Elephas maximus indicus: one gene and its partner. The protein of the gene in region 2 binds, or shares a complex with, the protein of the main gene of each other region. Links are inferred from orthologs where the notes say so. Each region holds a gene or a part of one and is shown on either strand. Other genes may lie near its edges. The genes, in order: SH3BP5 and MAPK10.

Region 1 (16,103 bases), on a different chromosome or scaffold from region 2:
TATCTTAATTTGAAACACCAGGCTAGCCCTTTGGTTAAAAGGTTATTCCCTTGAAAAGCTTAAAGAGGCCCACTCCCCCCAGTATCCATCAGAGTGCAAAGGGGCCACCAAACCCACTGCCGTTGAGGCAATTCCAACTCCTAGCGACCCTACAGGACAGATTAGAATTGCCCCATTGGGTTTCCAAGGCTGTAAATCTTTACAGAAGCAGACTGCCACATCTTTCTCCCACCGAGCAGCTGGTGGGTTCCAACTGCTGACCTTTCAGTTAACAGCCAAGTGCTTTAACCACTGCACCACCAGGGCTCCTAAAGGGGCCCCGGCACTGTGCAAACAAGGCCAGACGCAAGCAGAAAGAGGCAGATGTGCAAGTGACAACATGGCAGGTGGCCGGCACGCAGCAGTCTTTCGGTCATCTCAGATCTAAACAGCTGAGACGAGGACTGGACGGTGAACGTGAGTACCAGGAGGAACACCCTGTCTGTGGTTGCCCAGAGACAGTGACACCACATTCGAGGAGTGGATGAGCCACAAACCTGCTCACCAATTCAGTTTAATCAGAATCGGACAAAGTCAGGAGAGGGTGCTGAACATTCCATATCAGAACCCAAAAGCAAAGGGAAAGAAATGGATGGACAGCAAGGCCCTCTCCCCAGAGGCTCTGAAAGTATACATGTTCACTTTAAAAAAAAAAAACCCCACATTAGTACCTGTTTTCAATAACCGAACGAAATTGGAAGAGGATTTTGGCTTTTACAAAAAAAAAAGGCAAAAAGCAGAAGTAGCGATCAGCGTTGGTTTTGCAGCTAGCTGTTAAAGAGGCAGTGCGCACCCTAAGCAGTGAGAGTGGGGTCACCAAGCTTCTCCCAGGGAACTGCATACACGAGGCATCTCAGCATCAAGTCACACAGTTGCGGTAGTTTTGAACTGTGTGTGAGCACCTGCGCTTTATCTTGATTTATTCTGTGCACCCATTAGCAAGATGTGTCCCTAAGGTAAGAAAGCCTAAGAGAGCTCATGAGGGTTTTATGTGTTACTTGGTATGTTATTTTTTGGGTCTGAGAACACTCAAAAATGTTTCCCATGTAAATTAATAGTAATTGGTGCTTCACTTTATACCATTTCGGCGTGTGAAAGGTTTCACAGGAACACTTTGCTTTCGAAAAGTAGGGGAAACCTTTATATTAAAATGGCCTGTTTTCCAGCCCCACATCCTTCAACCCCTCTCCTTGACCACCCCAAGCTGCTCACTCTGTGTGCCCTCTTTGCACGTGGACCCCCCCATCTTCAGGTCTCTCCCGAGTGTCACCTGAAGTGACTCCCCTCCCAGTCTCTGTCACATCACTCTTATTGCAGTCATCACAATTAGTAATTATTTTCTGCCTCTCCACTCCTCATCCCCAGCTGTAATGGACAGCATCGGCCCCCAAAATTTATGTTGAAAACCCTAAGCCCTATCCCTGGAGCACTGGTGGCGTGGTGGTTAAAAGCTCAGATGCTAACCAAAGGTGGGCAGTTCGAATCCACCAGCCACTCCTTGGAAACTTTATGGGGCAGTTCTACTCTGTCCTATAGGGTCGCTATGAGTGGGAATCAACCAGAGGGCAATGGGTTTTGTTTTGGGATGCCTATAAATATGACCCTCTTTGGAAACAGGGGCTTTCTTTTGTTATGTTAATGAGGCCACATGTAGTAAGGTGGGTCCTAAATCAAATCACTTCTGAGTTAAAGAGCAGACTAGGCACAGAGAAGGAGCCCTGGTGGCACAACAGTTAAGCACTCAGCTGGTAACCGAAAGGTTGGCAGTTTAAATCTACGCAGACTTGATAATCTGCTCCCATAAAGATTACAGCCTAGAAAACTCTATGGGGCAGTTCTACCCTGTCACATGGGGTAGCCATGAGTCAGAATCGACTGGACAGCACCTAACAACAGACACAGAGACACACACAGGGAGAAGAAGTATTTACAAGCTCAGGAATGACAAAGATTGCTGGCAGCTACTAAAAGCTGAAATACACAGGGAAGGGCCTCCCCCTAGAGCCACACCCTGAATTCGGCCTTCCAGTCTCCTGAACTGGGATCAAATAAATTTCTGTTCTTTAAAGCCGCCCACTTGTGGTATTTGTGTTATAGCAGTACCAGGTTAACTAAGACGCCAATTGATATGTAAACTCGAGGGCAAGGCTTTTGCTTGTCTTGTTCCCTGACAAATCCCCAATGGCCAACAGACCGCCCAGCACAAAGGTGGTGCCAGTGCTTGACTAAAGGACAGACCCCTGACCACACACACACACAGAGACACACTCACACACATACCCCGCATCCTCTCTTCCAGGCTCCGGCCATGTGGCAGGTGTCCAGAGACCTGTGTCCCCTGCCTCATCGGTCCAAACTGAGATGAGCTCTAAGTATAAAATACATACCAGATTCTGAAGACTTAGTACCCAAAACACAAAAAACTAAAATAGCTTATTAACAAATTTTTATATTGATTTCATGTTTAAAATTATGCTCTCTTGGATACTCTTGGCTAAGTAAAATATATTAAAATTAATTTCACCTGTTTCTTTTTGCTTTTTAATATGGCTACTAGGAAATTTTTAATTATTTATGTAGCTTGAGTTTTACCGGGCAGTGCTGTTGTTAGTCAGTCTTAGTTATGATAACATCATGAAAAGCCAGCCAGCAACATGGCCCAGCCCTCACCACCTCGCTTCACAGGGCTACCAAATACTCTTCAGGGCACAGCAGGAAACACCTGCCCTGCTTGCTTCCTGTGACACACAAATATTTAAGAGTATTTGGAAATGGAATTCGGAAATCAGGGCTAAAAAGAATTTATCCGGTAGAACCAACTGTACCCTCAGAATGTAGGCTGTCTTATGCATAACCCAGAACAGTGCCCAGCACATAATTGCTGAATGAATAAATCGATCTTTTGCAAAGGAAAAAAAAAAATTTCCAACTTGTCTATTCATTTGGAGAATCCCTGGGTGACACAAATGGCTATGCATTTGGCTGCTAACCAAAAGGCTGCAAATTTGAGTCAACCCATAGGCACCTTGGAAGAAAGACCTGGCAATCAATTTCTGAAAAATCAGCCACTGAAAACCCTATGGAGCACAGTTGTCCTCTGACACACATGGCGGTCGCCACGAGTCAGAACTGGCCTGACAGCAACTGATTTGCTTTTTTTGATTTTTCTATTTCTTTGGCGTGGTCGAATATAAAAGCTGGAGGGCATCTGGAAAATGCATGGGTCTAGGCTGGGAGACCTGGCTTGGCCACACTGCTGAACTGTGAGACACTGAGCCTCACGATCTCACCTAGAGAAGAGGTAGGCTCTGCCTTCCCTACCTGTCCAGGTTAGTGCCATTTAGTAGAACTTTCTCTAATGATGGAAGTGTTCTCTGCTCTGCCCAATACAGTAGCTATTGAGCTCTTGTTATGTGGCGATAGTGACTGAGGAACTGAATTTTTAATCTTTTAATTAATTTAAATTCAAATAGCCACATGTAGAAAGTGGCTACCATCTTGGGCAGCCTAGCTCTAGGTTGCTGGAACAGGGTGGAGTAAGATAAAGCTTGTAAAAAACACTTGGTAAACTCTAAAGCCCTATAGAGTTGGCACAGGTTTTGTTGTTGCTGCTTGTTTAATACACACCTACTCCTCACTTATCAACTATCTCATTATCCAACATTTTGCATTTATGACAACAGTAAAAAAAAATCTATCAGACTATTTTGCACATCAGTGACATACACCTGGCCGTAATGAACACCAAGGTGCCAGCGGAGAATAATGCTGGCTGTGATGGTTAAGGTTATGTGTCAGCTTGGCTGGGCCATGATTCTCTGTGGTTTAGCAGTTATGTAATGATGTGATTTGGCAGTTAGGTAATGATGTAGTCATCCTCCATTTTGTGATCTGATGTGGTCATCCTCCATTTTTGCATATCGTTGATTTTCACATAACGACCTGATCTTTGGAACCTAACCATGTCGATAAGTGAGGAGTGGGTGTATTAGACATCTGAGATTCAGAGAGGTTTCCATGGTCCAAAATCACAAAGAGACTCAATTCACCGTAACTGAAAAAAAAATGTAAACAAACACAATGATTTTACTTCATTTTGGGGAGAATCGCAGCCAGTTTCATGGATAACCCTTCACAGAGCTCAGAACACCAAGCTTTTCAGGCCAGATTTCATTCATATTTGGTATTTCCAGGGCCTGGACATGCAGTTAGAAATCATGGCTGCCAGTGTATTCTTGGTAGATTATATTCCTATCTCCTGCACCCAGGGACTGGTGACAAGGCCACATTTTCTGTCCTTCCTGTTGACCTTTCTTGCTGTTTCTCCTGCTACAGAAACAGGTCCTCCCAACGGCTCCCTGCATGCCTATAGCTCTAACAGACACGGGCTTTCAGATATACAGTAAAACCTATGAAAGCCAGAACCCATGTAACGTGGAAACCTGTCAGACAAGAAAAACTCAAATATTTTCCATTAATAGAGAGTGATAGAAGAGCAGTAGGCTTGTACCCTGTCAAAGGTGGAAAACTTGTGAGACCCGGAAAAACAATGCATTCCGTTCGAGTTCCAGCTCTCACAGGTGTCACTGTATACAGAGGTTGTTCAAATTTGCTGATGGATGGTAAAACCAACCACTAGTAAATAGGGGTGAGGACTAATTGGTAGCTGTGAAGAATGCTAATCTATTTACACTCAGGTTGGAAAATGCTCCCGAAATGCAAATCAAGCTTGCCTCCCAAGACTCTTCCCAGCAGGAAGGCCTTTCTCAGTCTAAACAGCTTTTCCTTACCATTAAGATAATTATATTCTACACACAAGTAGACAAAAAAGAAACACGCGGGGAAGTGGAAAGGAATGGGGAGTGAATTATTAGTACAGCAAAGTAAAAAAAAAGGGTGTAAGTCTGAGGAAACACCAAACAGTTCCAAGTACAAATGGAAGGAACCACCCTAAAATATTTAAGAGATTTCATGAGCTCATTCATTAAAAAGACTTCAACTAATATTCCCCTCAGTCCTTTCAGCTTTTCCACAGACACATTAAGTCTGGGTTTTAAGCATGTGTAATATGCCACACAGCCCTTGGTTTGGCCCCATGGAGCTTCCATAATGAAAAACAACACACGAAATTGGATCCACATGCGTTTGGCCCACTGGTTGGGCTCAGTGGTGTATTTCATCCTGACAGACAGCAAGGCTGTTGCTCAACTCCCATTGCTCAACTCCCAGGGGTGGGCCTTCACAATAACCGCTGGCTATATATTAAAACAAAACCAACTGGCCAGGAATAAGTGTGACAGCCACCCCTTCAAGCTTTCTGTACCTCAAGTTCAGTCTCCCGTCTGTTGATCTCATCCGTGGATTGATTTAACTTCTCCAGTTCTCCCTAGTGAAGAAAAGAGAGAGAAAAAAGATTTGAGGGGTCAGGCTTCTGTTTCCAATAAAATTCAGCTCATAACCTGAAAAACTACCCCAGCCCAATTCATAGGAAGACGGAAAAGGTGGTTTTAATTTTCAAGGAAAACAGATGAGTTTGAGCTGGAGGAGCAAATGAAATGTCTGTATTTCTGAAAACTTTATCTTGACGGTATCTCTTTTAAAAATGACTTAAGGGTCTAGGAATTATTTGTCTTTTCCGATAGTCAAATATTTATTCCAGGTAAGTGCCTCCAGGTAAACCCACCTTATTACAAAGGGTTCAGCTACCAAATTCAAACAGTAACCTCTGCCTTAGAGAAGGAGAACGTTGTAGAAAAAATTAAAAAAAGAAATCAGCACATGCTAAAAATATAAGCCCAGTGAAATGATTTAACTCAAGGAAAGACTTCTGTCATTAACTCATCAGCGGCTGAGTGTTTTTCTACAAGGAAAATTTTTTTTTTTCCAAAACTGCCAATTATTTAACCTGCCTAGCCTTTTTTCTTTCTATACTAGCTTTAATCCCAGTCCTTCAAATAAACATTTACAACCAACATCTGTAAAAAGTACCCAGTCTGAAGTTAACTCCTCTTTACTCTGCAAACAAAGGCTATTGCTAACAGAATCGCCTAGCAAGAACGCAAACCAGTGATTTTAATTAATAGGATCATTCCTAATAGAAAGATTTTTTCCCCCTGATCTTTACCTTGCTAATCTGCCAAAAACAATTCATTTAAACCCTAGCCACTTAGTTTAACGAGGTTTTAATTGATCTACGCACTGAAAAACCAGTTAGGTAGGGCTCCAGAGATTGCATGGCATTGCTTACAAGCAATATAAAAAAAATGATTTATGGAAAGGGTAAAAAAAAAAAAAAAAATGGGTCTTGGAAAAGAGATTTGCTGTGTTTTTGCTTAGGGGTGAAGAGGTTAAGCTGTCACACACAGATTTCGGCTTGAAAATTGTTTTTTAATCATCCCTCTAGGAAAAAGCCTTGGTGCCGCAGTGTTCGCTGAGCTGCTGCTAACTGAAAGGTTGGCCGTTCGAACCCACCAGGCTCTCTGCAGGAGAAAGATGTTGACAGTCGGCTCCCCTAAAGATTACAGCCTTGGAAACCCTATGGGGCAGTTCTACCCTGTCCTATGGGATCGCTATCAGTCCGAATTCACTCGACGGCAATGGATTTGGTTTTTGGTCTAGGAAATGGAAGCACAGAAGGCCAGGCCAGCCCCCTCGCCTCCTCCACGCGTCGGTTCGGCTCATCAGTTGTGCCTGGTTTCTGTTCACACCCGACCCCACAACAAGGAAAAAAGCAGGGCTTTAACCCATTTCAAGCCAAGCGGAGGTTTGAGCCAATGGCGACAATAAACCCTCCCAGTTTCCCTACAATAAATCAAAGGAGGAGGAAGGCAGCTCAGGCTGGGCACCCTGGCCAGGTGGGGGTGCCGGACCCAGGACACCGGTGCCAGTCCACGCTGCAGGGGCGGCAACGCCCACCCGCCAGGCTCGCGGGCCGGGCAAACCCTCCTCCCGGAGCCGGGAGGCTGTGCAATGCCTGCGGCGCCACTAGCCTGGCTGAGAGCACCCCGATACCGGCATGGCGCCCCCGCCCCCTTTTTCCCTTTGTTGTGCATCCGCCGAACCACTGGTACGCTGCGGGGACCCCCAAATCTCGCCAGGGGCCTGCAGGGGTCCCCGCAATATAGTCAGGCCGCATCCAAAGAGCACTGCAGCCCCCTCAGTGGGGAACGGTGAAACCGAGTATTCAGACCCTCTCGTCTCGCCCCGGACCGCAGCGCTAGACGTTGCGGAGCGGGATGTAGGTGTAGACGCCGACCTCCACCGCAGCCCTCGCGGAACCCGGCCCGAGGGGCCCCCGCGCGCCCTACCTGGATCCGAGGATCCACCTCCTCCTCCTCCTCCAGCCCCTTCTCCATGCCTTCTCCCTCCTCCTCCTCCTCCACGTCCCGGGCAGGCGGCGGGAGCTCGGCGGGCTCCTCGGAGCGACTCCGCTTCAGCGCCGCGTCCATGCAGGCAGGGTGCGGGCCCCGCAGCCAGAACGCGAGCCGCGCCTTAGGATCCGGAGCGTCCGAGGGGTCGCGGCCGCCGCAGGCTCGCCCAAGCCCGGCACGGTCCCGGCAGCCGCCGCGGTCGACACCCAGGAACGCCGCTCGCGGATGCGGGTCGGTCCGGCCCAGGCGGAGCGAGCGGAGGAAATGCGCCCGGGCGCCCCCTTTCTGCCGCGGCCGCTAGGACAGCGGCGCCCGCTCCGCCCTCGCCCGGCCGCCCCTCGGCGCGGCGCTGACACCATTCATGGGCCAGTCGCAATTACCCAGGTGTCCGTCACAAAAACCCCAGCTTCCTGAAGACCTCAAGGGAGGTGAAATGGGACAGCCCCCGCTCCCTTTTAACTGAGCAGCACGAATACATTGCGAACTACCTAACGCTAGCCACCTGTTTTCTGGGTAGCTTTCTCCCTCCTCGACAAGGCAGATTTAGGATGGGAGGAAAGTTGGGGACTTTTCCACTCTCTGAAGTTACCTTTACAGTCCCGTACTCAGTGACCCTACATTAATTTCAAGGCTCTCTGAAGCCCCTGTCCCCTCGGCTAAACCTTGTGAGTTGTATCTACTTGGAGATTTCCCCAGAAATGGGAACTGAAACATCCACCCTAGACGCGCAGAGCTGCACGTATGGATTCCTTTTCCACAGGCTGTGGCCTCTCCTGGCCAGAACTCCATGCCCAAACACATGCCCACGGGATGGTCCTACCTGAATAGCCGTGAAGCAGCGAGAATTCACTGAGTGTGGATTCAGGTAGGTTGGTACGGCCTTTTCAAGGAAGCAGCAACTGTAAGACCTGTTGATGGGCATACTCTAGCCAAGGGGTTATGAACTGGCGAGGTTTCCTGCCCAACCCACAGGTAGGGAGCCAACACTTGCCTGGGAAACTCGGCATCACCAAAGGCCTAACAAAAGGACATGTCTACACCATGATGAAGTGTCAGGGCCACTGTGAGGTTGGAGGACTACAGGGTCAGGTAACCTTAGCAAAGCACTCCAGGGATAACACCACTGATCAGGAAGTATACACTTTCATCACCAAGGCTTGTGGGCCCTTGGCTCTGTGAGAACAAACCTGCTTGAGAACAGAGCTTTCTGAGAGCCTATCATTAAAGTCTTGAGGGCATGTGTGGTTCAGTGGTAGACTTCTTGCCTTTCATGCAGGAGACCCAGGTTCCATTTCTGGCCAATGGACCTCACGCTCAGCCACCTCTCTCCTGTCAGTGGAGGCTTCCTTGTTACTATTAATCTGAACCGGTTTTGGCAGAGCTTCTGGAGTAGGAAGAATGGCCTGGTGATCTGCTTCTGAAAAATCAGTCATGAAAAACCCTGTGGAGCATAGTTCTACCCTGACACACATGGCGTCACCAAGAGTTGGGGGACAACTTGACAGCAGCTAACAACGGCATTATTAAAGCCACCTTGGAAAACCCACTTCTGACGGTTTTATCAGAAGCTAAATTGTGGGGTTACTCCTTGAGCAAAGCACCACCCTACATGCCAGCATTATGGTCCATTGTCAAAGGAAGTTGTCCTATTTCCTAGGGAGGTAGTGCAGGTGTACATTGCAGGTTTCTGAGGGGCATTTTGTGTTTTGGTTTTTTTTGTTCTGAAAAGATCACTGTAGTAGGAGCTTTATAGGGTTGGAACCCATTAAAGGCCTTGCTATTCTGTGGAGAATGTTTTCGTAGGTAATTGGATTTTCACGTGGAGGCTCTAAGACAGGGAGCAAAGGTCCTGAGATCAAAGGGTACCTGTTTGAAAAATAGCAAAGAGGCTGGTGTGGTTAGAGGAGAAACAAGTAAAAGAGAAATAGACTATAAGGGAGGTAATAGGGGGTTGAGTGTGGAACCTAGAGACTCAGTAAGACAAGGAACAGAGGGGCCCCCAAATCTGCAAACAAAGTAACAAGAAATGGGCCAGGGCACAGAAACAAAGCCATTTCACAGAACAATGGGGCAGGGCATCTAAAAATAGCCTGCAAACTTCTTTAAAGTTGCCTTTCAGAAGCAGCTGGAGAAAACCAGGCCCAGGGACATGCGAAGAACATCCACTTGTGGCCGCTTTGTGGCCTTCCACCAGAGGCAGGGAGGGGCTACAGCCCCAGCTGGGGACTCGAACCCGGACAGCGGGGGACTACGCAGGTGTGACACCCCATAATAAGTCCTGCTATGAATCCCAGAGGCCTCCAGGACAGGAGCCATCTTGGAAAGCTGCTGCGCACACCTTAGATAACATATCCCAGCCTGTGCCTATGAATAAACATGAATCTTTTCCTGCCCAAGAACTTTTAAAAACTCAGGGCCTGTCTTTTGTTCTGTGAGATGAGGGTAAGCATTGCTCTAGGCCCTCCTGATCTCCGCTTGCAAGCCTCTTCAATAAAGCTTTCCTCGTGTGGAAAACTACGTGCCTTACGTGCTCATTCTTGACCACTGAGAGGCAAGAACCTTATTCCGGTAACAGCTTCATGTCCCCTCACCACCACACACACACCTTTATCTGTTCATTGCTCTTTAACTTAGTGACCCAATGATTTTCTTCTTTGAATTTTTTGTTGATACCCTGTGTTCTCACTAATGGAAGGCATGCTGATTTAAGGACCAACTTAGAATTTTTGTTATGATTTATGGATTTTGATACCCATCGTCTAGGATCCCATATGTCCCAGTGGATGCCGGATGTAGAAAATCCTACCGATATGAGTAAGTGATGAAAATAATTTTTTCTTTTCTTTTTTTTTTTATTTCTTGAAAATTTGCAAATTTTCAAGAAATAAAAACATGAAGGCACCTGGCAATGACTACACATACATTTTATTCTAGTCTCCTTCTTCTTAGCCTTTCTATTATTTTTCATGAAACTTGTCAAAACATGGTACGATGCATTCTTCCTTACTGCAAAAGCAGTACTTACAGCCCAAATAAATAAAACTAAAGGAATATGAACCTCAGGAACATCATCACTACCATGTATTCTTCACCATAACAAAAGCAGTACTAACAGCTAAGAAGCAGAAACAGCTGCCCTGGAGTACTGTATACCTCTTCACCTGCTACACTTGGAAGCAACGATAGGTCCCTAGGATTGAATGCTGGTAAGAAATTATAGGAGTTCGAGCCTCTTGATAAGTACCCCTGAAATGCATTATTCCTTATTGCAAAAACATTACTCACTGTTCAGAAGCTAGAAGAGCAGTCCTGAAAGAGCAAAGACTCAAAGCAGAGCACGGAACCAGGAACACCTGGCAACAGTGAATGGTGCCAAGGAGAAAATGGCCACTATGACTGGATGAAGACTAGGAATAGCTTATTCTGGGGACACAAGGGCCCCCAATATTTCTGGCGACTTTGAACTGAGCCAATAAGGGAGCAGGTTCATCCCAGCTGTAAAAAGGAGGAATACAGGGTCAACCCTGACTCTAAATGCTTCCCAGCTGGAGGAATCCCATCATGACCGTTTTAAACTACAGCCCACAACATACATTTCTGTTTGAGCACTGATCCACGAATAATGGAATGGTTCAAAATGCCTCTATGGGACATAGGGAAACTGCTCTGGAACATCAGTTTAGACTTCTGTTGTCTTGTTTTTAGGATACCTGGGCAAGTTTATCGTGTTAATCCTAATAGGGTTTCTAAGGTCGAAATAAGGAAAACAAATAAATTATGAGCAGTACTACGTATTTTCTAGTGGTACATATATATGCACATAAATGCATAGAAAAGGGTCTGGAAGGATCTATACGAAACCAAGCGTGGTTCCCCCTGGAAACGGGCATAGGGAGCGGCCCAGGATTGGCTGGGACTGAAAGGTCAGAACAAATTTTGTTTCCAAGCAAGGTTTTCATTTATTACAAGAATGTGCTTGTAATTATTTATGAATTTAAAAATAAACTTTAGATAATACATACTGTTTTCTATTGCTGAGTAACAAATCACCACAAACTTAGAGGCTCAAGAGGAGCTCTGGTGGTGCAGTGCTTAAAGCCCTCAGCTGCTAACTAAACGGTCAGCGGTTCAAATCCACCAGCTGCTCTGTGGGAGAAAGATGTGGCAGTCTGCTTCCATAAAGATTACAACCTTGGAAACCTTATGGGGCAGTTCTACTCTGTCCTATAGGGTCTCTATGACTCATAATTGACTCGGTGGCAATGGTTTTCATTTATTATCTCAGAGTTCTGAGTCAGAAGTTCAAGCCTGGTATGGCCAGGTTCTCTGCTCAGGGTGTCACAAATTGAATCAGGATGTCAGCTAGATTGTGTTCTTTTCTGGATACCCTAGGGGAAGAATCCATTTCAAGCTCATCCAGGTTATTGGCCAAATGCAGTTCCTTGTGGTTGTAGGATTACCAAAAAAAACCAAACCCATTGCCGTCAAGTTGATTCTGACTCATAGCAACCCTATAGGACAGAGTAGAACCACCCCTTAGAGTTTCCAAGGTGCTCCTGGTGGATTTGAACTGCCGACCTTTTGGTTAACAGACATAACTCTTAACCACTACACCACCAGGTTTCCGGTTATAGAACTAAAGTCCCCATTTCCTAGCTGACTGTCAGGGGTCAATCTCTGTATTCCTTGCCACATGCCCCCCTCCATCTTGAAAACAACAACTGAAGACCTGGCTTGTGTCAAATCCCTCTTGTGATTTGATCTCTTCTTTATTTTTTTATTTCAGGAAGAGCCCAGTCCCATTTTAAGAGGCCACCTGATTAGGTCAGGCCCACCAGGATAGTCTCCCATTCCTAAAGTTAATTATGCCATATACATAACCTAATCATGGTAGTGACTATCGCATCGTATTTACAAATGCCCTAAATTATACAGTGGTATGTAAACCAGGGGACAGGAAACTCTGGGGCCATCTTCTAATTCTACCTCCACACATACTAAGAAGGCAAGCCATGTTATTAAGTAAATGCTTATATTTATTTTAGCTGGCATATTGATCTAGAGCAGTACTTCTGAAAGTTTGGACTGGAGACCCCTGAAGTTCTCCGAGACCTTTCAGGGTATCTGTCAAGTCAAAGCTACTTTCATAAAAAAAAAAAAAATTTTTTTTTTTTAAGTGAATAATACCAAGACAATATTTGCCTTTTTCTTTTTCATTCTTTCACAAGTTTTCCAGAAGCTACATGCAGGAGCAGATAGGTAGGAGAATCCAGCTGTCTTCTGTTAATTAAGCCAGACATTAAAGAGATCTGCAAATGTAAAACAATGCCCTTCTTGTCACTGTTTTTATTGTTTTGGAAACTACAGTTATTTTTTCATAAAATTATAATATTTATGTTAACCCATTGCCGTTGACACAATTTCCACTCATAGTGACCCTACAGGACAGAGTAGAACTGCCCCATAGGGTTTCCAAGGCGGTAAATCTTTACGGAAGAAGACTGCTACATCTTTCTCCCAGGGAGTGGCTGGTAGATTCAAGGGACTTTTTGGTTAACAGCCAAGCGCTCAACCACTGCACCACCGGGGCTCCTTATTATTGTCACTTTATACCAATTAGTAAATAAATTTTTTTAATTCTCAGTTTTAATTTTCCAGTACAGTAACTGCTTATAAACATAACCACATAAACAAAAGGTCTGTGAGATCCTCAGTCCTTTTTAGGAGTATAAAAGGGTCCTGGCATCAAAAAGGAAACCCTGGTGGCAGAGTGGTTAAAAGCTACTGCTGCTAACCAAAAGGTTGGCAGTTTGAATTCACCCAGGCACTCCTTGGAAACTCTATGGGGCAGTTCCACTTCGTCCTATAGGCTTGCTATGAGTCAGAATCAACTGGATGGCCGTGGGTTTGGTTTTTTGGCATCAAAAAGTTTGAGAACCACAGACTTAGAGGAACTGTACACTCTGGTGCGGATTTAAAAAATTTTTATTTAAATATATTTGAATTTAAATGTTCCACTTCCCTCTTCATGAAAAAGATCCATATCCCCCTCTCAAGACCCCTGTTGACCTTTGGTGGAGTATTTCAGGCACAGTACATTTACGTCCATTTTAAAAGACTTTAAATATAATTTAACAATGGTAAATGATTCAGGACATGGTTATATGATGGGTTGCTGGTGTGGCTTAACGCATCCCTGGGTAGCACAAATGGTTTGCTCTTGGCTACTAACCTGAAGGTTGGCTGTTCGAACCCACCCAGCGGCTCTAAAGAAGAAAGGCTGGGCGATCTGCTTCCGTAAAGATTACACAAAGAAAACTCTGTGGAGCAGTTCTTCTCTGTAACACATGGTGTCGCCGTGAGCGGGAATCGGCTCCGCAGTAACGGGCCAGAATTGACTTGAAGCACCATTTTCTTGACAGAGGCTGATCACATGGTGCACGCTGTGGAAGAAGATAGGATGCCTGCCATCTTCACAAAAATCTTGAGAACTGCTTTGTTGGAGACCGCGCTACCTGATGGATTTCTTTTTATTGCCTCCTTGGAGTTTGTTCAAGTCCAGACACTGGGGGAAAATACATTGTGTGTGTTTGTTTACGGCCCCACCACGTCAGGTTGTAATGGTTCCTTGGTGAGAGTCATAGCCTCTGCACTGCTCCCAGTTGCCATTGGAAACAGTGGGCTGGGATTTGGGTGGAAGGAAGAAAAAGGGGTCTGGCAGGATGAGTCTATGCTCATCTGTTTCTCTACAGTGGGTTCTTATTTGTCACGATCTGGTTTTCTTTCATGGGATTAAAATCAACCTCTCCTGTAACCCCACTTTCTCACTGATATCATACATTTACAATCTGGGCCTCAACCTCCCTGAATCACAAAACGAGCAGGTCTCCAACAAAGAGAGACCCTCCCCTTATTTAGTGTACCCCTTGGAGAAGTGAAACACTGGGGTATTTCTATTCCTGTAGGTGTGGAGAGAAACTTTAATTTATTTAATAAGCACTCAGAAAGCCCTGCTATGTTCAAAGGGTGTTACTTTTTTATATTCTGGTGAGCAGAGAGATCTCCAACTATGTCCAAAATGTTCTTTGGGCTTTTTTGTGAAGCTAGCAACTTGTTATTTCCTCCAAATTCTTGAAAACCCAGGAGTGGAAAAATGAGAGAAAATAAAAAGATTTGCTGACTTCAAAGCACTTCCAGTGAGTTTTGGGCAGGAAGGATAGTTGCCTTAGTCATCTAGTGCTGCTATAACAGAAATACCGCAGTGGATGGCTTTAACAAACAAATGTATTCTTTCACAGTTTTGAAGGCTAGAAGTCTGAGTTCAGGGCACCAGCTTCAGGGGGAGCCTTTCTCTCTCTGTCTGCTCTGGGGGAAGGTCCTCATCATCAATCTAACCCTGGGTCTAGGAGTTTCTCATCACAGGGACCCCAGGTCCAAAGGATGTGCCCCACTCCTGGCTCTTCTTTCTTGGTGTTAGGAGGTCCCTTCTACTTTCTTCTTTCTCCTTTTATCTCTTGTAAGATAAAAGGCAATAGAGGCCACACCCCAGGAAATCTCCTCTTACATCAGATCAGGGCTACTACCTGGTAAGGGCGTTGTGTCCCACCCTAATCCTCTTTAACATGACCTAACACTGCCTCATTAACCACAGGCAGAGATTAGGATTTACAGCACATAGACAATTACATCAGATCACAAAATGGAGGATAACCAACGCTGGGAATCATAGTCTAGCCAAGTTGACACATATTTTGGGGGGACACAATTCTGTCCACGACAATAGTGCTGACCATTCCCATGGATGAAGAGAGTAGCATTTTCTGTCCTGGTGACTCAAAATGATCACTTGACGCTGCAGAATTACCCCTGTGTGAACACAGAAATCAGACACACCTTTCTGTCTGGAAGGGCCAGAGTGATTTCGTTTACTGGCTTGTTTGTTTTGTGTTTTTATTGTGGTAGGATATATATAGCAAAACATTTGCCATTTCAACCATTTTTACATGTATCATTCAGTGACATTAATCCCATTCACCACGTTGTACAACCATCATCACTAGCTGGTTTCAGATTTTTTCGTCACCTTTAACAGAAAATCAGTACCCCTTAAGCAATGTGCCACCAGAGTTCCTTCCTGTAAAGATTTTTTTAAAAAAACAAAAACCCATTACCGTCGAGTTGACATCCCCATTTCCTACTCCCTGAAGCTTCTGGTAACCACCAATAAACTTGGTCTCTTTGCATTTGCCTATTCTAAATATTTCCTGTAAGTGGGATCATACACTATTTGTCCTTTAGGGTCTGGCTTATTTCACTCAGCGTAATGTTTTCAAGGTCCATCCATGTTGGAGAATGTACCAGAGCTTCGTATTTCTTTACGGCTGAGTTGTACTCCATTGTGTGGACATATCACATCTCGGTTCAACATTGTGAAGTTAATGCTTTTTCTGTCAAATTTCGATGCCCTTTAAATGAAGAGTCCCTACAACATCAAGATTTAAAAAATAGAAGAAAGAAAATTTCACATCTGCTTGTCAATTCCTGTATAACAGAAGCTGCTCTTCTGAACGAAGAATGAATCAGCACTCACACCATGTTCTTGTATCCGTGACCAGGTGACATCAGCATCTTCTCGTTGCCTCATCTGTGATCTTCCCACGGCATCTTAGACCACAGACAGCAAACTGACAGCTC
Region 2 (15,746 bases):
CTCATCTACAGGAAATGGTTCTAATTCAACAGTTTCTTGCATGAGTTGCCATAACGAAGACTGGAGATGGTCCTGCTGTTGATGTTTCTCACACTAGCCTAAAACCAAAGTCAAAAGACAAGTGAGTTTGGTTTTAAATGAGAATTTCACCAGCATTTAGAAAACAAAAAGACATAAATCAAAGAAAACTGATGACAAAGGGGGGACGGGGTAAAACATCCTCAAAGTAGTTAATTCTGCTCGAAATTCATCACATGCACAAGAACTTTCCTGCTAACGCCAAAGCAGCTATTTTAAAATCTGAGCATAAACCCATTAGTAATTGTTATTTTGCTTGATATATTTGGTTTTATGATATAAAGCACCCCACCCTACTTCAACCGGGGCAGCACCACTATCACATATGTTTATGTACATATGTTTACATATTTTCCTTTTCATATAAAATTTCATTAGAACAATGACGATAAAAGGAAGAACAGAAGTTTGAAAACCTCTGAAGTCTGTGAAATAAAGTAAAACAATACTGAAGTTGAACTGAGGCTAGAAAGGGACCTGTATTTATTGTCTTCCTTAGTAGAACCTAGTTCCAAACCTGCTTTTCAACCTTTATCACCTGTTACTTCCCCGCATCACATTGGCCTGATTCTCCGGGGCTATGCCAGTTTCCAACGTTCCAATTCTATTGTAAAACCATAAATTCTAATTTCTGGCTTGGAAAGTACAGTCACCATACCCATGTTAAACCTCCAGTCTACTGCAAATATGAGTCTAGTTCCCGGGCAGGTACTTAAAACTGCTGCTAGGCATACCTTCGCCACCACCCTCCAGCCCCAGTCATCCCAATGTCGCCTCTATCATTTCCATGGAGGTGAATTTTCTTCTCTGACTTTCTATTGCACTTACTGCCAAACCACTAATATGATTCCTTAATCATATGCCATCTTTATTGTTATTTCAGTTTTTGTGTTATATCTTATCTCTCCAAATGACTGTAAGTTCCCCATTGTAGCACCTCTGGGTTACACTTTCCCAACTGCTTTCCCGCAGCACTTAACAAAGAACAATGTACAGAGGAGACATTCATTCAACTAATACTTACTGTGTCCCTAATATGTGACGGATGGAGTCCCTGGTAGTGCAAATGGGTACCAGCTTCTAACAGAAAGATTGGCGGTTTGAACCCACCACAGAAGAAAAACTAGAAGATCTGCTTCTAAAAAGTCATAGCCACAAAAACCCTACGGAAGGTAGTTCTACTCTGAAACACATGGGGTCACCATGAGTCACAACCGACTCCGTGGCAACTGGTTTGGTTTTGGTTCACTGTGTGCCAGACAGACACAGTCAGTCCCCAACAGAGATTCCAGCTTAGTGGAGGATACTAGTCCAGTTGCCATCCAGTTAAGTCTGAGACCCACGTGTCAGAGCAGGACTGTGCTTCACAGGGTTTTCAATGGCTGAATTTTCAGAAGTAGAATGCCAGGCCTTTCTTTTGAGGCATCTCTGGGTGGGCTCGAACCCCATTAACTATTTGTATCACCAAGTGACTCCAGCAAAAGACAGATAACTGAATAGGCAATTACTGTGATGTGTGCTAAGTGCTGTGGTGGAGAAAGTACAGACACTGATTAAACATTACCACGTAAACAGACGTAAGAGCCTGACCTCACTATCAATACTTTGATATCCTATTTTCAATGTAAAAGAAGGGGGCTATTACTTTAAAAAAAAAAAAAAAAAAAACCCATTGCCATCAAGTGGATTCCGACTCATAGGGACCCTATAGGACAGAGTAGAACTGCCCCATAGGGTTTCCAAGGAGCAGTTGGTTGATTTGAACTGCTGACCTTTTGGTTAGCAGCCATAGCTCTGATCCACTATGCTACCAAGGCTCCCATTTTCAGGAGGTACAGAGAACACCCAGGCAGGTTAACATCTACAAACCAGGAAGCAGTTTTACTTCTATAAAGACAAGTCACTAAGATGACCTTCTAATACTTTTAAGACATTGCTGTTGTTTTCTGCTTCTCGCCACAAAAATGTGGCAAAAATATCGTTTATTACGAAGTAGCCCACTCTGCAAATGCCTAAGTGCTCCGTAGAGGAGTTCTGTCTTAATCGGACACAGCACACCGGGCTTTAGAGCAGCTGTGGTTAGGGATGCTTCCGAGAAGCCGGAAGTCACTCTTTTTCCATTCAAACCTTTAATTCCCATTCCCAGGAACACTATCTCTATAATCGCATGATTTTTACATCTCACAGTCACCAGGGATAAGAACAGGGAGAAGTATTGTAGTGACTTGTTACGAATCCAAAACATCAATTAAACTACAAAATTCTTTACCAAAAATAAGTATAATTTTCAAGCCTACTTTTCAAACCTAAAATGCTTCTATTTAGGGATCGTTAATATCACCTGGGGTTTCCACTTAGCAGAGTCCCTACCAATATTCACAATAAGAACGGAAGCTTCCCACCACTAAATACAGAAAACAAAAAGTACCCCAAACATACAGATTTTTCATTTTCCCCTTCTTTGCCTTGATTTGTTTGAAAGATTAAATTTACTTGAACTGAAAAATCTGAGTCCAAAACCTTACAACTTTGCTATGAAAATATGTACAGATAGGTGAATTTCTGAAAACATGGGCTCCAATTTTAAATTGCATTTTCTCTTTCAAACAATCAATATGCAACATGATCTTTTATCTGAATCAGCACTATAGTGTCTCATCTCAGACTTATGTAATACAATAAATACATCTAATATGCTAAAGGATTATGTTCTCCTTTACAAATAACACTTTCTCTCCCAATAGTCTACAGGCTCAACTTTTTCCACGAGTCCTTGGTACCAGGTGTAATAGATGCATGTGTGGTGGAAAGAGAGGGGAGGCCTTCAGTAAGCCTGCAGCAAGCACAGCATCTTACTCCATTCCTGTCATTGCTGGACACTTTTGTGCCTGTCTTTTGCCTAAGGGCTGCAACGTCCAACCAAAAGCTTAAAAGAGAAGACAAGAGAAAATAGTAGGGGAAACTGAGGGAGAATTTTAAATGTCAATTTGTTTACTTCTTCTTCTAATTGAAGGAAGTATCTCTTGGTTTGAGTCCATTATTCTGATAAGCACCCAAGCAATCATTCGATTTGAATACACCAATTCTGCTAAAAGTCCTTTAGATACAAACAGAACCTAAAGCCAGGACTAAAGCAGGAAGGGAAGCATCTGCAAGCACGTTTAAACAACAAACAAAAAACCTATTTGTCTTTATCTTTTATCATCAGTAGAAAAAGGCTTTGTAACTAAGCTTAATATTCAAAGAAACACATGAAGCCAAAGTAAAACTTAAAAAAAAAGAAATATATATATATATGCCTTTAAACATGGTAGTCTTTTTCAATTTATTTAGGTTAAGCAGATTGCTTTTGCTTATAATGTTCTTATAGGATATACTGACAAGGGAAATTCTATGAATTTTTCTGTCAATATAAAACATATATACATATTATAGTATCCTTGATCAACTCTCAGTTCATTCTAACCTTGAAAAACATCGGCCATGTACTACGAAATCATTAAACACTAATAGCTACAGACGTACCAGACAATGACAGCGAAAACACACTCGGTCCCTCTGGGATCTATTCATAAACATCCCTTTCCAGCATGGCAAACACACTCCTCCCAACAGCAGATGCCGTTGTGGGGCGAGCAAGCAGGAAGCTGGAGGCAGCTGATTTTTCCACTCTACATGTAATTTCTTACTGCCTCATCACCAGGAATCTTTTTACAGAAACTGCGGAGATTTTTGTAAGCTCAGGAGCCCGTCACATTAAAGGTACTTTGCTACAACAGAAGGGAGTGATATGCAAATAAGGAAGCATACAGATTCTTTAATATCTAAGGTGATACTACCTTTGTCAACTGATTTTCTAGCCCTATGGTAGGGAAAAGAAAAACCAGCTTGCTCCATGTGATACAATAAACTAATCCCATACTTGCTGTCAATTTTAGGAGTAAGATCAAGGTAGAGAGGGGAATACATAACAGAAGCAGCAAACCTGCTATAGCCCTGAACTGTACAGCCCCTAAAATCCAATGGTTCCAAAGCGAATTGGAAGCTTGTGAGCTCCTTTGTGAGCATCACGATATTGACATATAAGCTCACCCACCTAAGGCAGAAAATTTGCAGAAGCTTCTCTCAGGAGAATAGTCATTCCTGCAACCATTTTAAATGTGTTATCAGCATTCTAGGAGACTTTCCTGGATCCAGCAACCAGCAGATTAGGGATGGAGGCAGAAATTGGACCTTGAACTAGCAATGTGTGATACATTTATACCCATTTTCCTTCTATCTGTATTTACACTCATTTTCCTGCCCCATATGACTTAGCCTGCCTCTTCCCAGTGCGTTCATGAAAGTTATAGTCAGCACGCAGATGCGGGCAGGTCTGCTGTAAGACACTGCGAGGCTCTGCAGCAAAGACGGTCCATGTAAACAACCTTGTGACTGCTTCAGAGAAGATTGCGTGGGATAAGCCATTCTTTCCTGTGGCTAAATTTCAGTGCCCTGGGAAGTTTTTTCCTTTAAGGGGGTGAAAGCAGTGACTGACCCTTGATTTAACTGTAGGAATGAAAAGAAAGAAAGAAATATATATGTACATACATGTTTTAAATATCTGATTTACTTGAAGATTCCCCTGTAAGTCACACTTTTCTTGCTGTGTGCACAGATTCTGATATATTGCCCTGCTCATTTTTAACAGTATATCTTTTTTTTTTTTTTTTACTTTGCAAAAGGAGCTCTGACATTTCTAAGGGACACAGTATCCCAGCATAGAATACCTGGGAACCTTGCCATTAAATTAAAAAAAAAAAAAAATGGTGCCTGCTGTGACTAGCGGATCACTTTCTTAAAGGGACCCTTTACCTATGTGACTGCGGTGACAATTTTTCTTCTTAACTCTAATCTGATCCCTCTTCTGTGTTCTCTCCCCAGCCCAAATTTAGCCTAGAGTCTCTTTGCAAGAGTAATGCCGTTAGTTTTGCAGCTAAAAATATATAAATATCATTCCCTACTAAAATGTGTAAATATGTCCCATAATTTTTTTTATTTAAGTTTATTTATTTAAGTTACACATCTCAGGAAATAAAATAAATGCATACTTAAGGGCATTAATTTTAATTTCCTATGGAACCCATATCATTTCTCAGAAACGGGACTGAGGTCAGCACTTCTAACAAGCACAGATGCATTCGCTCTCTCTCTGTCTCTCCTTCTGTAGCTCTGCATTGGTCTAAAACCGCTGGTCACAATAAGAATGCTCCCTCCCACCCTCTGCCACCCCTCACTCCAAACAGAGAGGTTGCAACACGCCCAAGCCTGGAGAAAGATGCTCCGCACTGTGGCAAAGGCTGGTGGCTTCTTGCCTCGGCGGTAGTTCACTTCATTAACCTGCTTTCCACCCCATCTCCCCCCTCCCACCACTCGCTCTCCTGCTCCACCAGGAGCCATCAATAGCCATCACCCCACCCTCCAGAAACAGTTTAGAACCCGGAATGAGCAAAGAGCCACCTACCATTCCGTGCCTGAGAACTACGATCCTGATCCGGCAGTGTTTGCCCCCAAAATCCTCCCTACTTGACTTTCATTAACCACATTCCAAACTGCAATTAGGAAGAGAGTCTTTGGAGGTGGGGAGATTGCTTAAAATTAATGATGGATAGGTAATTTACAAGAAAATTCAATCTTAAAGTCACTCAAAGCCCCTAGAAATTGAGGGGTGAGGAAGAAAAAGGAAAACTGTAAAAACGTAAAAAGAAAAGAAAAAGGTAAGCATATAACAAGCACCATCCACCCCCATAAAAACAAAAAGAGAAAGGGAGGCTTTAAAGAAGAAGAGTGCCTTGCTGAATCACCCTCTTTCACTGCCTGGAAACCATTGTGCAGCGTGATGCTGCCTGTACCATTGTGAAACCTACCAGAGGAGACCGACAGAGGGCTTGGGGAATGGGGTTGCTATGGCAACTAAAAGGAGCACACATGACGTCAAAGCCCAGCGAGGTCTAGGGAGGGGAAGAAGGGGAAAATGGAAAGAGGAAAAAGTCTCCGTGTGGCTACAGATACTGTGTTTTCTGGTGAAACGAGGAGCAGGCAAAATGTGAAGGAATAGAGCTCGTGGGCAGCCAATGTCAGCAAGGCAACTACGATATCACGGATCCAGTTTGCACAACCCGGGAAAATAATCCCCTCTGTGTCGTTCTGGCCGTTTGCACAGCGGTACTGAGGAATAAATACAGGCAAACCAAAACACCCCTGGAAATGCGTTCAACCTGTTTTTCAACTATCTCAGCTATTTACAAACCGCACGGAGAGACATAGGCTATGTCTAAATGTCAAGACAAGCAAAAGACTGTAATAACCTCAAAGGAGAAGTGAGCGTTTGAGTCCTTCCTGCACCCCGGAGGTCATTTGCACAGCTCTATTCCTCTTCTCTGTTTCCTTGTTTTACATAAAATTCCTGAATACCCGCTAAATCAAAGCTCAACAAACTAATTCTCAGATTGCAATTTGGACGTAAAAAGAAAATATTGATAATTTTAGTTAACAAATTGGGGTTCTTTTTAATTTTTTAATTGCGGATAATTCTCTGGAAAACTGATGCAAGTTCCATTATTACTATTTGAGGGTAATATCTCAATTTTATTTAATGAATTTGCCCTGTTTTTTGGTTGTTAGAGGATTTCTTTAAAATACCCATGCAGTTTTAATATCCACAAATAATAGCTTCTTGGAATAAAAGCGGTGACTACTTTCCCTATTTAAACAAAAAATGAGTTTATCAAATTTTTCTGACTTTTTTAAAAATATTTTTTACACAATGAAAATTTTCAATGCATATTTTTGTCACTATATTCTGTTGTCCTTAATGATTGTGAATTATCAAAATTACACATTTTTGAAAGTGAATTAAAAGTATCAAATAATTTTAATTTTTCTATTGAGTCATTTGGCAAAAAATATTTATAAAACCAAATCCACCCTGACTATAACTCTTAGAAGAGTTAAAACCATGAAATGGATAATGTAATGTCCCAAAGGTTGCATTTACAAAGGAAAGGAAAGCTTCTTGCTTGGAGAACAAGAAATATTCCTGAACAACTTCAGAGCTGGGAACAGAGTACACGCATCTCATTAAATCTATAAACCAGTGCAAAAAAAAAAAAAAAAAAACAGTGCAAGGGGATACTAAATACAGCCCCATACTTTTGAAAGTAAGAGGTTACTTTTATTTATTCATTTAAAACTCTTCTTTCAAAGACTTATCATTGATAATATTTATAGAACTCTGGCCAGGCTTCTAGACTAAATAAGTTTTATTGGAAAACACTTCGAAAAAAGTTTGAGGCAGTTAAGGTGTTTTACACCCCAACACAAAGTTCAGGTATGTAATATCATAAGAGAAGTTACCTGCTTTAATATTGGCTATCTCAAAGTTTAACATGTCATAATATTTCAGAAATTAAAAAGCTTTGTTGATAGCTAGTAAAAAAGAGTTGTATAACCTCGGTAATTACAATTAACCATAAATATTTACTGGTCACCTACCAACTATAAGGAGCCCTGGTAGCACAGTGATTAAGAGCTTGGCTGGTAACCAAAAGTTTGGTAGTTCGAATCCACCAGCCACTCTTTGGAAATCCTATGGGTCAGCTCTACTCCATCCACAGGGTCAGTATGAGTCAGAATTGGCAATGGGGTTACCATGTGAAAGACTATACACTATGCTCCTGGAAGAGGGAACTGTCAAGGAAGACAATGAGAAATAAAAAGGCTAAGGAACAGACTGATATGAAATAGTATATATTCATATTCATAAGGTCATAATAACATAAATACAGCATAAGCCCATTGCCTTCCAGGTGATAGTGACCCTATTGGACACAGTAGAACTGTCCCACGGGGTTTCGAAGGAGCGGCTGGTGGATTCGAACTGCTGACCTTTTGGTTAGCAGCCAAGTTCTTAACCACTGTGCCACCAGGGCTCCTAAATACAGTATGGTAAATGCCAAATGAAAGGAAGCAGATACTCTTGTGGGAGTTTGTACAGTGAGTGCAACTACCTGTGCATGAGCACAGTGCTTGGCAAACACAGTAATCCTACTCAGTAACTGTTCTTTTTCTTTTATTTCTAATTTAAAAAATACATATTTTTCTTTTGATCTCTCAGACATATTCAGTTGGACTGAAAATGGCTATAGAGAAGATGATTAGGGTCATCTTACCAAGGGTCTTAAATAAGGAGTTTGGTTTTATCCAATAGTGAATTACAACAGTTTAGGTAATTTAAATAAATAAATAAATGGCGTGTGTTACATGACCAAATTTTAAGAAATTAATTTTCCTACAGCATGTAGAATAGACCTAAAATACTATTTTAATCATCTAAATATTACTGAAATGAGAATTAAAGCCCTAAATAGTAAAACCCACTCCAAAATCTGTAAGCAAGGTTGGCGCCTATCTCTCTTTGTAACTAATGTCATCATGATTTTAACTATTCACAGTTGGCATTCTACTTTCTCCTTTTCTGTAACAGAATATTTTCCTTTACAGAACTACCCTGGTCCCACTGGTGGAACTGCCTATCGTTAAGGATAGCCCATCCCTCTGTTTAAGGGTTAGCTAAATAAACATGAGGGGGTGGGGAAACTAGACTAAACAACCAGACTTGAAATAATGAAAATATTCACACATTGTGAAGAATGTACCCAATGTCACTGAAAAATTTGCGTAGAAATTGTTAAGTGGGAACCTAAACTGCTCTTCAAACCTTCACCAAAAACACAACAAAATATTATTTAAAAGTAAATAAATAAATAGCAAAAAAGAAATAGCTACCTAACCAAGCAAAGAGCCCTCCCTAGTGGCCCAACAGTTAAGGGCTTGGTTTCTAACTAAGGTTGGTGATTCAAACCCACCCCACAGCTCTGTGGGAGAAACACCTGGTGATCTGCTTGCAGAAAGACTACAACCAAGAAAACCCTATAGGTGGTTCTTATCTACCACATGGAATTAGAATTGACTTGACAGCATCTAACAACACATAACCAAGTAGAGTCAATCAGAATCTTTGTAGGGGGTGGTGGGGAAGGACTGCAATATGGGCACTGGGAGAAAGAGATGTTCTGTTTACAACATTGCTAACTGTAAGATAGAACAATTTTAAAGCTTTTGGAGACTATCTTTGCCACCATACTGAGAGAACCCACCCAAGGATGAAATAAATCCAAACAAAAATAATGAGTCAAGAAAAAAAGGGACAGAATATTGACACCGTTTTTTGAATTTCTGATTCTCACCTTGCCTAAAGCCAGTCCCAACCCTTGCATTTCTCAGGTTACATAATCTAATCCAATTCATTTTTTGCTTAAACATCTTTGAGGGGGGTTTCTGCCTATTGCAATCAAGTATTCCTGATTAATATACCATTCTATATTAGGTTTGGAACTACCATGCTTGTGAGAATAAGTAGCTTCTTCCAAATGAAGGAACTTCTTTCACACAGAAAAGATGCAACACAACACGTGTAAACTAAGCAGCCATTACGACACTGAAACACATCGTAAAACTGCATGGGACCATGTAAGGCTTTGTTATTGCTGTTGTTGCTATTTTTTGTTTGTTTGTTTTCAGGAAGAAATCAAGTAAAAGAAAGACCTGGGTGAGTTTTCTCTAAGTCTAGTTCATTGGACAAGTTTTTTGGATGTCTCGTTGTTCTCGTTTCAAATTCTATAAGAATTAGTTGATTAATCTTAGTCTTGATAGTGGGACTACATACAGAGACAACTATGTCTCATGCAGGAATATGCATGATTTGCCAAACAACTTTATAACACAGTGTAGTTGGCATTCTGGTCTTTAAGTTATTTTATTCTAAGTGTGGATATCAAAAGTCAATTCCCAATACCTAGATACCAGTGATGAAAAAATGAACTTTAACTCTTACCGCACATTGTAAACACAAAAATTAATTCAAGATGAATTGTACAACTAAACATAAAAGGTAAAATCTATAAAGCTATTAGAATAAAATTAGAAGAAATATATAAAATAAATTAGGAGAAATAACATCTTTCTGACCTTAGAGAAGGCAGTTTTATTAAGATACAAACAGTACTCACCATAACAGGAAAAAAAAAAAAAAAAGCTTCATCAAAATTAAAAACTTCCACTTATCCAAAGACACCATTAAGAAAATGAATTGGCAAGCCAGAGACTAGAAGAAAGTACTCTTGATACACATATCTGAGAAAAGACTTCAGTCTAGAGTATATACCAATCTCCTGTAACTCGATAATAATAAAAAACAGCATTTTTAAAATAGGTGAAAGACTTAATAGAGAGATGTATAACTGATCAATAAGCATATGAAAAAGTATTCAACATCATTAGTCGTCAGAAGAATGCAAATTATAACCACAATGAAATATCACTTAATACCCACCAAAATGGCTAAAACAAAGGACTGAGAACACCAACTAATGGCAAGGATATTCAGCAACCAGAACTCTCCTGCATTAGTGGTGGAAGTGAAAAATGAAAACAGTACTTTGGGGAATGGTTTTGCAGTTTTTATAAATGATAAACATACAACTACAATACTAAAAAAAAAAAAAAAAACCCAGTGCCGTCAAGTCGATTCAGACTCATAGCTACCTATAGGACAGAGTAGAACTGCTCCATAGAGTTTCCAAGGAGCGCCTGGTGGATCTGAACTGCCGACCCATTGGTTAGGAGCTGTAGCACTTAACCACCACATCACTAGGGTTTTATGACTCAACAATTCTACTCATAGGTATTCACCCAAGAGAATAGAAACACATCCCCACAAAAAAGTGTACATAAAAAGTTTATAATGGTTTTATTTATCCTAGGCAAACACTGGAAGCAACTTGTCTATCTAAAAGAGAATGGATAAACAAATTACAAATTGTAGTATATTCCTCCAATGGAATACTATTCAATAATAAAAAAGAATGAACTGCTGAAACATGCAACAGTATAGATGAATCTCAAAAACATTATGCTGAGTAAAAAACCAGATAAAAAAAGAATATATGTATGTGTGTGTATATATATGTATGTGTGTATGAGTAAAAAAATAAATAAATAAAATATGAATCTGTATATATATATATGAATCCATATATACATAAGTCCATATATATATGAATCTGTTTATATGAATTTCTAGAGCAGACAAAATTAATATATGTGGTGATGTAATTCAGAACTATAGTTGCCTAGTGTGGGGATGAATGGTTGAGGCTGGCTTGGGGCAAGAGAAGACCTTCTGGAGTGATAAAAATGTTCCACCTCTTAATAGAGGTCTGAGTTATCCTCAAAGTGTAACTCGTAATATCAGTGCATTTTACTGTATGTTAAACAAATCTCTGTTAACTAAAAAAAAAAAAAAAGTTTTTAATCAATTACCAAGAAGAAAACTGCTGAGTGAGCCAATAAATTAGACTTCGTAAACCTGCAAATCTGGTCCATACAACGAACCTTGATTTGACAGAGCTAAGCAGATCCAGCAGTACAGAAGACCAGACTCAGGGTTGCCAGAATCTTAAAAGACCCAACAAACTCTCTGAAATGAGGCAGACAATTGATGGAGGTTTACATAACAAACAAGAGATGTAAATTCAGACATTCAAAAACAGTTATCACCAGAGAAGTGCTGTAATAACAAACTCCTGGGTTCAGCTATGTTGTTGTTAGCTGCCATTGCAACCCCAGGCACTACGGAACAAAATGCTGGCCAAGGCCTGACCTGTTCCCATGATCAGACCATTGTGATCCACAGGATTTTCATTGGCTGGTTTTTGGAAGTAGATCATCAGGTCTTTCTTCCTAGTCCATCTTAGTCTGGAAGCTCTACTACAGCCTGTCCAGTATCACTGCAGCACACTAGCCCCCAATGACAGATGGTTCGTGGCTGCCCATGAGGTGCATTGGCAGGGAATCGAAGTGGGTCTCCCACACCGGGGGCAAGCGTTCTGTCAGTGAACCACCACTGCCCTCGCTGCTTTACCTATGTTGTTGTTGTTTGTTGTTGTTAAGTGTCACCAAGTCAGTTCCAACTCATAGTGACCCTTTGAACAATAGAACAAAACACTGCCTGGTCCTGTGCTATTCCCAAAATCTTTGCTATGTTTGAGCCCATTGTTGCAGCCACTGTGTCAATCCATCTACTGAGGGCCTTCTTTCTCTCTGACCCTCTGTGTTACCAGGCATTGTGTCCTTCTCCAGGGACTAGACCCTCCTAAAAACATGTCCAAAGTATGTGAGATGTTTATTCGCCAGCCTCACTTCTAAGTAGTATTCTGGCTGTACTTTTTCCAAGACAGATTTGTTCATTCTTCTGACAGTCCATTATATATTCAACATTTTTTGCCAACATCGTAATTCAAAAAATCAATTCTTCTTTGGTCTTCCTTATTCATTGTCCAGGTTAGCATGCATATGATTCAGTGGAAAATACCATGGCTTGGGTCAGGCCCACCTTAATCCTCAAAGTGACATCTTTGCTTTTTAACACTTTAAAGAGGTCTTTTGTAGCAGATTTGCCCAATGAAATATGTCTTTTGATTTTTTTGACTGCTGCTGCCACAGGTGTTGATTGTACATTCAAGTAAAATGAAATCCTTGATAATGTGAATCTTCTCTCCATTTATCCTGATATTGCTTATTGATTCATTTGTGAGGATTTTCATTTCCTTTACGTTAAGTTGTAATCCATACTGAAGACTGTAGTCTGTGATCTTTACCAGTAAGTGTTTCTTCTTCACTTTCAGCAAGCAAGGTTGTGCCGTCTGCATATCTCAGGTTGTTAATGAGTCTTCCTCCAACCCTGATGCCATGTTCTTCTTCATATAGTCCAGCTTCTTGAACTAGTTGCTCAGCATACACATTGAATAAGTATGGTGAAAGGATACAACCCTGACACACACTTTTCCTGATTTTAAACCATGCAGTATCCCCTTGTTCTATTCTGGTGACTCCCTCTTGGTCTATGATCCTTATGAGCACAATTAACTGTCCTGAAATTCCCATTCTTCACAATGTTATCTTTAATTTGCTATGATCCACACAGTGGAACACCTTTATATAGTCAATAAAATGCAGGTAAACCTCTTTCTGATATTTTCTCCTTTCAGCCAAGATCTATCTGACATCAGCAATGATATTTCTCCTTCCACATGTTTGTCTGAATCTGGCTTGAATTACTGGCAGCCTCTTGTTGAATTATCTTCAGCAAAATTTTACTTGTGCGTGATATTAATGATACTGTTGAATAATTTCCACATTCTGTTGGATCACCTATCTTTGGAATGAGAACAAATATGGATCTTTTCCAATTGGTTGGCCGGGTAGTTGTTTTCCAAATTTCTTGTCATGGATGAGTGATTGCTTCCAACATTGCATCCCTTTGTTGAAACATCTCAATTGGTATTCCATCAACTCCTGGAGCCTTGTTTTCCCCCAGTGCCTTCAATACCATGGGCAAGTTGAACTTCTTCTTTCGATACCATGGGTTTTGATCATATTTTACCCCCTGAAATTATTGAACGTTGACTAATTCTTTTTGGTACAGTGACTCTGTGTATTCCTTTAATCTGCTTTTGATGTTTCTTGTGTCATTCAATTTTCTGCCCATTGTTGTTACTATTAGGTGCCATTGAGTCAGTTCTGGCTCATAGCGACCATTTTTAATGAAAACATTGTTGGCCTTGCAAAATTCTATCATGTGCTCTCCAGCATTTTGTCTGTCACCAAGGCCGTATTTTCCGATTATGGATCCTTCTTCTATGTTTCCAACTTCCACATTCCAATCACCAGTAATTATCAGTGAATCTTGATTGCATGTTCGATCAATTTCAGACTGCAGAAGTTGGTAAAAATCTTCAATTTCTTCATCTTTGGCCGTAGTGGTTGGTGTGTAAATTTGAATAATAGTCATATTAACTGGTCTTCCTTGTAGGCATATGGATATTACCCTATCACTGACAGCATTATACTTCAGGAGAGATCTTGAAATGTTCTTTTTGATGATGAATGCAAAGTCATTCATCTTCAAGTTGTAATTTGCGGCATAGCAGACCATGTGATTGTCGGATTCAAAATGGCCAATACCAGTGCATTTCAGCTCGCTAATGCCTAAGATATCAATCTTCAAGCATTCCATTTCATTTCTGACAATTTCCAAATTTCCTAGACTCATACATCGTACATTCCAGGTTCCAATTATTAGTGGATGTTTGCAGCTGTTTCTTCTCATTTTGAGTAGTGCCACATCAGCAAATGAAGGTCCCCAAAGCTTTACTGCATCCATGTCACTAAGGTTTGAGGAGGCAACTCTTCCCCAGTCGTATTTTGAGTGCCTTCCAATCTTAGGGTTGCATCTTCCAGCACTATACTAGTCAATGTTCTGCTGTGGTTCATGAGGTTTTCACTGGCCAGTTTTTTAAAAGTAGATGGCTAGGTCCTTTTTCCTAGCGTGTCTTAGGCTGGAAGCTCCACTGCAACCTGTCCACATGGGTGATCCTCCCAGTGTTTGAAATGACAGGGCATAGCTTCCAGCATCACAGCAACATGCAAGCCATGACAAACTGACAGGTTTATCTATAGAGACTATAATTCAATGTCAGGACTGCAGTCTCTGAAGGAAATGGAGATGCTGAAGAATTGGCCTTCCAAACAGTAAATGGCAAGGAAACAAAGAGGAATAGTCAGTGGAATTGGGGTAAACCCACTGCCATCAAGTCGATTCCGACTCATAGCGACCCTATAGGACAGAGTAGAACTGCCCGATAGAGTTTCCAAGGAGCATCTGGCAGATTCGAACTGCCGACTTCTTGGTTAGCAGCCATAGCACTTAACCACTATGCCACCAGGGTTTCCAAATAAACCTGTTGCCGTCAATTCTGACTCATAGCAACCCTGCAGGACAGAGAAGAACTGCCCCATAGAGTTTCCAAGGAATGCCTGGTGGATTCAAACTGCCAATCTTTTGGTTAGCAGCCGTAGCACTTAACCACTATGCACCAGGGTTTCGGAAGTGGGGTACCAAGTGTTAAGTGGCGGGAGGAGTAGTAGTAGTGTCCGAACCTGTCTAACTTCATGGTGGATAATGACCAGGTCCATCCCAAAGCTGATTCCCATCAGGTGGAAGTCAGACGTACCTCCACTTTCCAAACTTTTTTCACCAATTCTGACCCTAGCCATCCCTCCCACAATGCTCTACTTCTCTTCTGGGTTCAATAATCTGTTGCAGTGACCACACAAAACTCAGAGACTGTACCTACAGTTAAGTGGTTCATTAAGAAATAGGGTACAACTGGGTATTGGGATCAACAGGCTACAACTCAGGATCAGGACCAGGAAGCAACCAGGCAAAGTCTCCCTTCTTCAGTGCAGGATAGCTCCCTCTGCTGTGCAGGTCACTCTCTCTCTCTCTTTCTCTCAGGACAGGCCTCATCTCGAACCCCTGAGAACAAGCTCCTCTTGGCCCCTGAGAACAAGCTCCTCTTGGCCCCTGAGAACAGGCTCCTTTGGCCCCCTGAGGACAGGCTCCTCCCAGCCCCACCAGTCAGGCTCCTCTAGATCCCCTCAGGATAGGCTTCTCTTGGTTCTGCAGTCTGTCACTGCTGGCTCTGCCACTAGGCCCCTTCTGGGCC

What was found.
Region 1: the proteins of MAPK10 (region 2) and SH3BP5 are in contact, whole or in part, in a crystal structure (PDB 4H3B), measured with the Homo sapiens proteins. The link is inferred for Elephas maximus indicus from reciprocal best matches to the Homo sapiens genes MAPK10 and SH3BP5. Residues at the interface, in NP_620448.1 of Homo sapiens: Lys121, Asp150, Ala151, Gln155, Val156, Met159, Leu161, Glu164, Arg165, Tyr168, Tyr171, Val197, Lys198, Ser199, Asp200, Cys201, Trp362, Asp364, Glu367; in NP_004835.2 of Homo sapiens: Val341, Val342, Arg343, Pro344, Gly345, Ser346, Leu347, Asp348, Leu349, Pro350.

What each region holds. Positions count from the first base shown.
Region 1 is NC_064845.1:36,057,432-36,073,534, forward strand, and holds the start of SH3BP5 (SH3 domain-binding protein 5), read right to left. Parts: upstream 7,729-16,103; 5' UTR 7,488-7,728; coding exon 7,347-7,487; intron 5,426-7,346; coding exon 5,363-5,425; intron 1-5,362. UniProt on the Homo sapiens protein: Functions as a guanine nucleotide exchange factor (GEF) with specificity for RAB11A and RAB25. Inhibits the auto- and transphosphorylation activity of BTK. Plays a negative regulatory role in BTK-related cytoplasmic signaling in B-cells.
Region 2 is NC_064823.1:69,246,638-69,262,383, reverse strand, and holds the start of MAPK10 (mitogen-activated protein kinase 10), read right to left. Parts: upstream 5,937-15,746; 5' UTR 5,582-5,936; intron 99-5,581; 5' UTR 1-98. UniProt on the Homo sapiens protein: Serine/threonine-protein kinase involved in various processes such as neuronal proliferation, differentiation, migration and programmed cell death.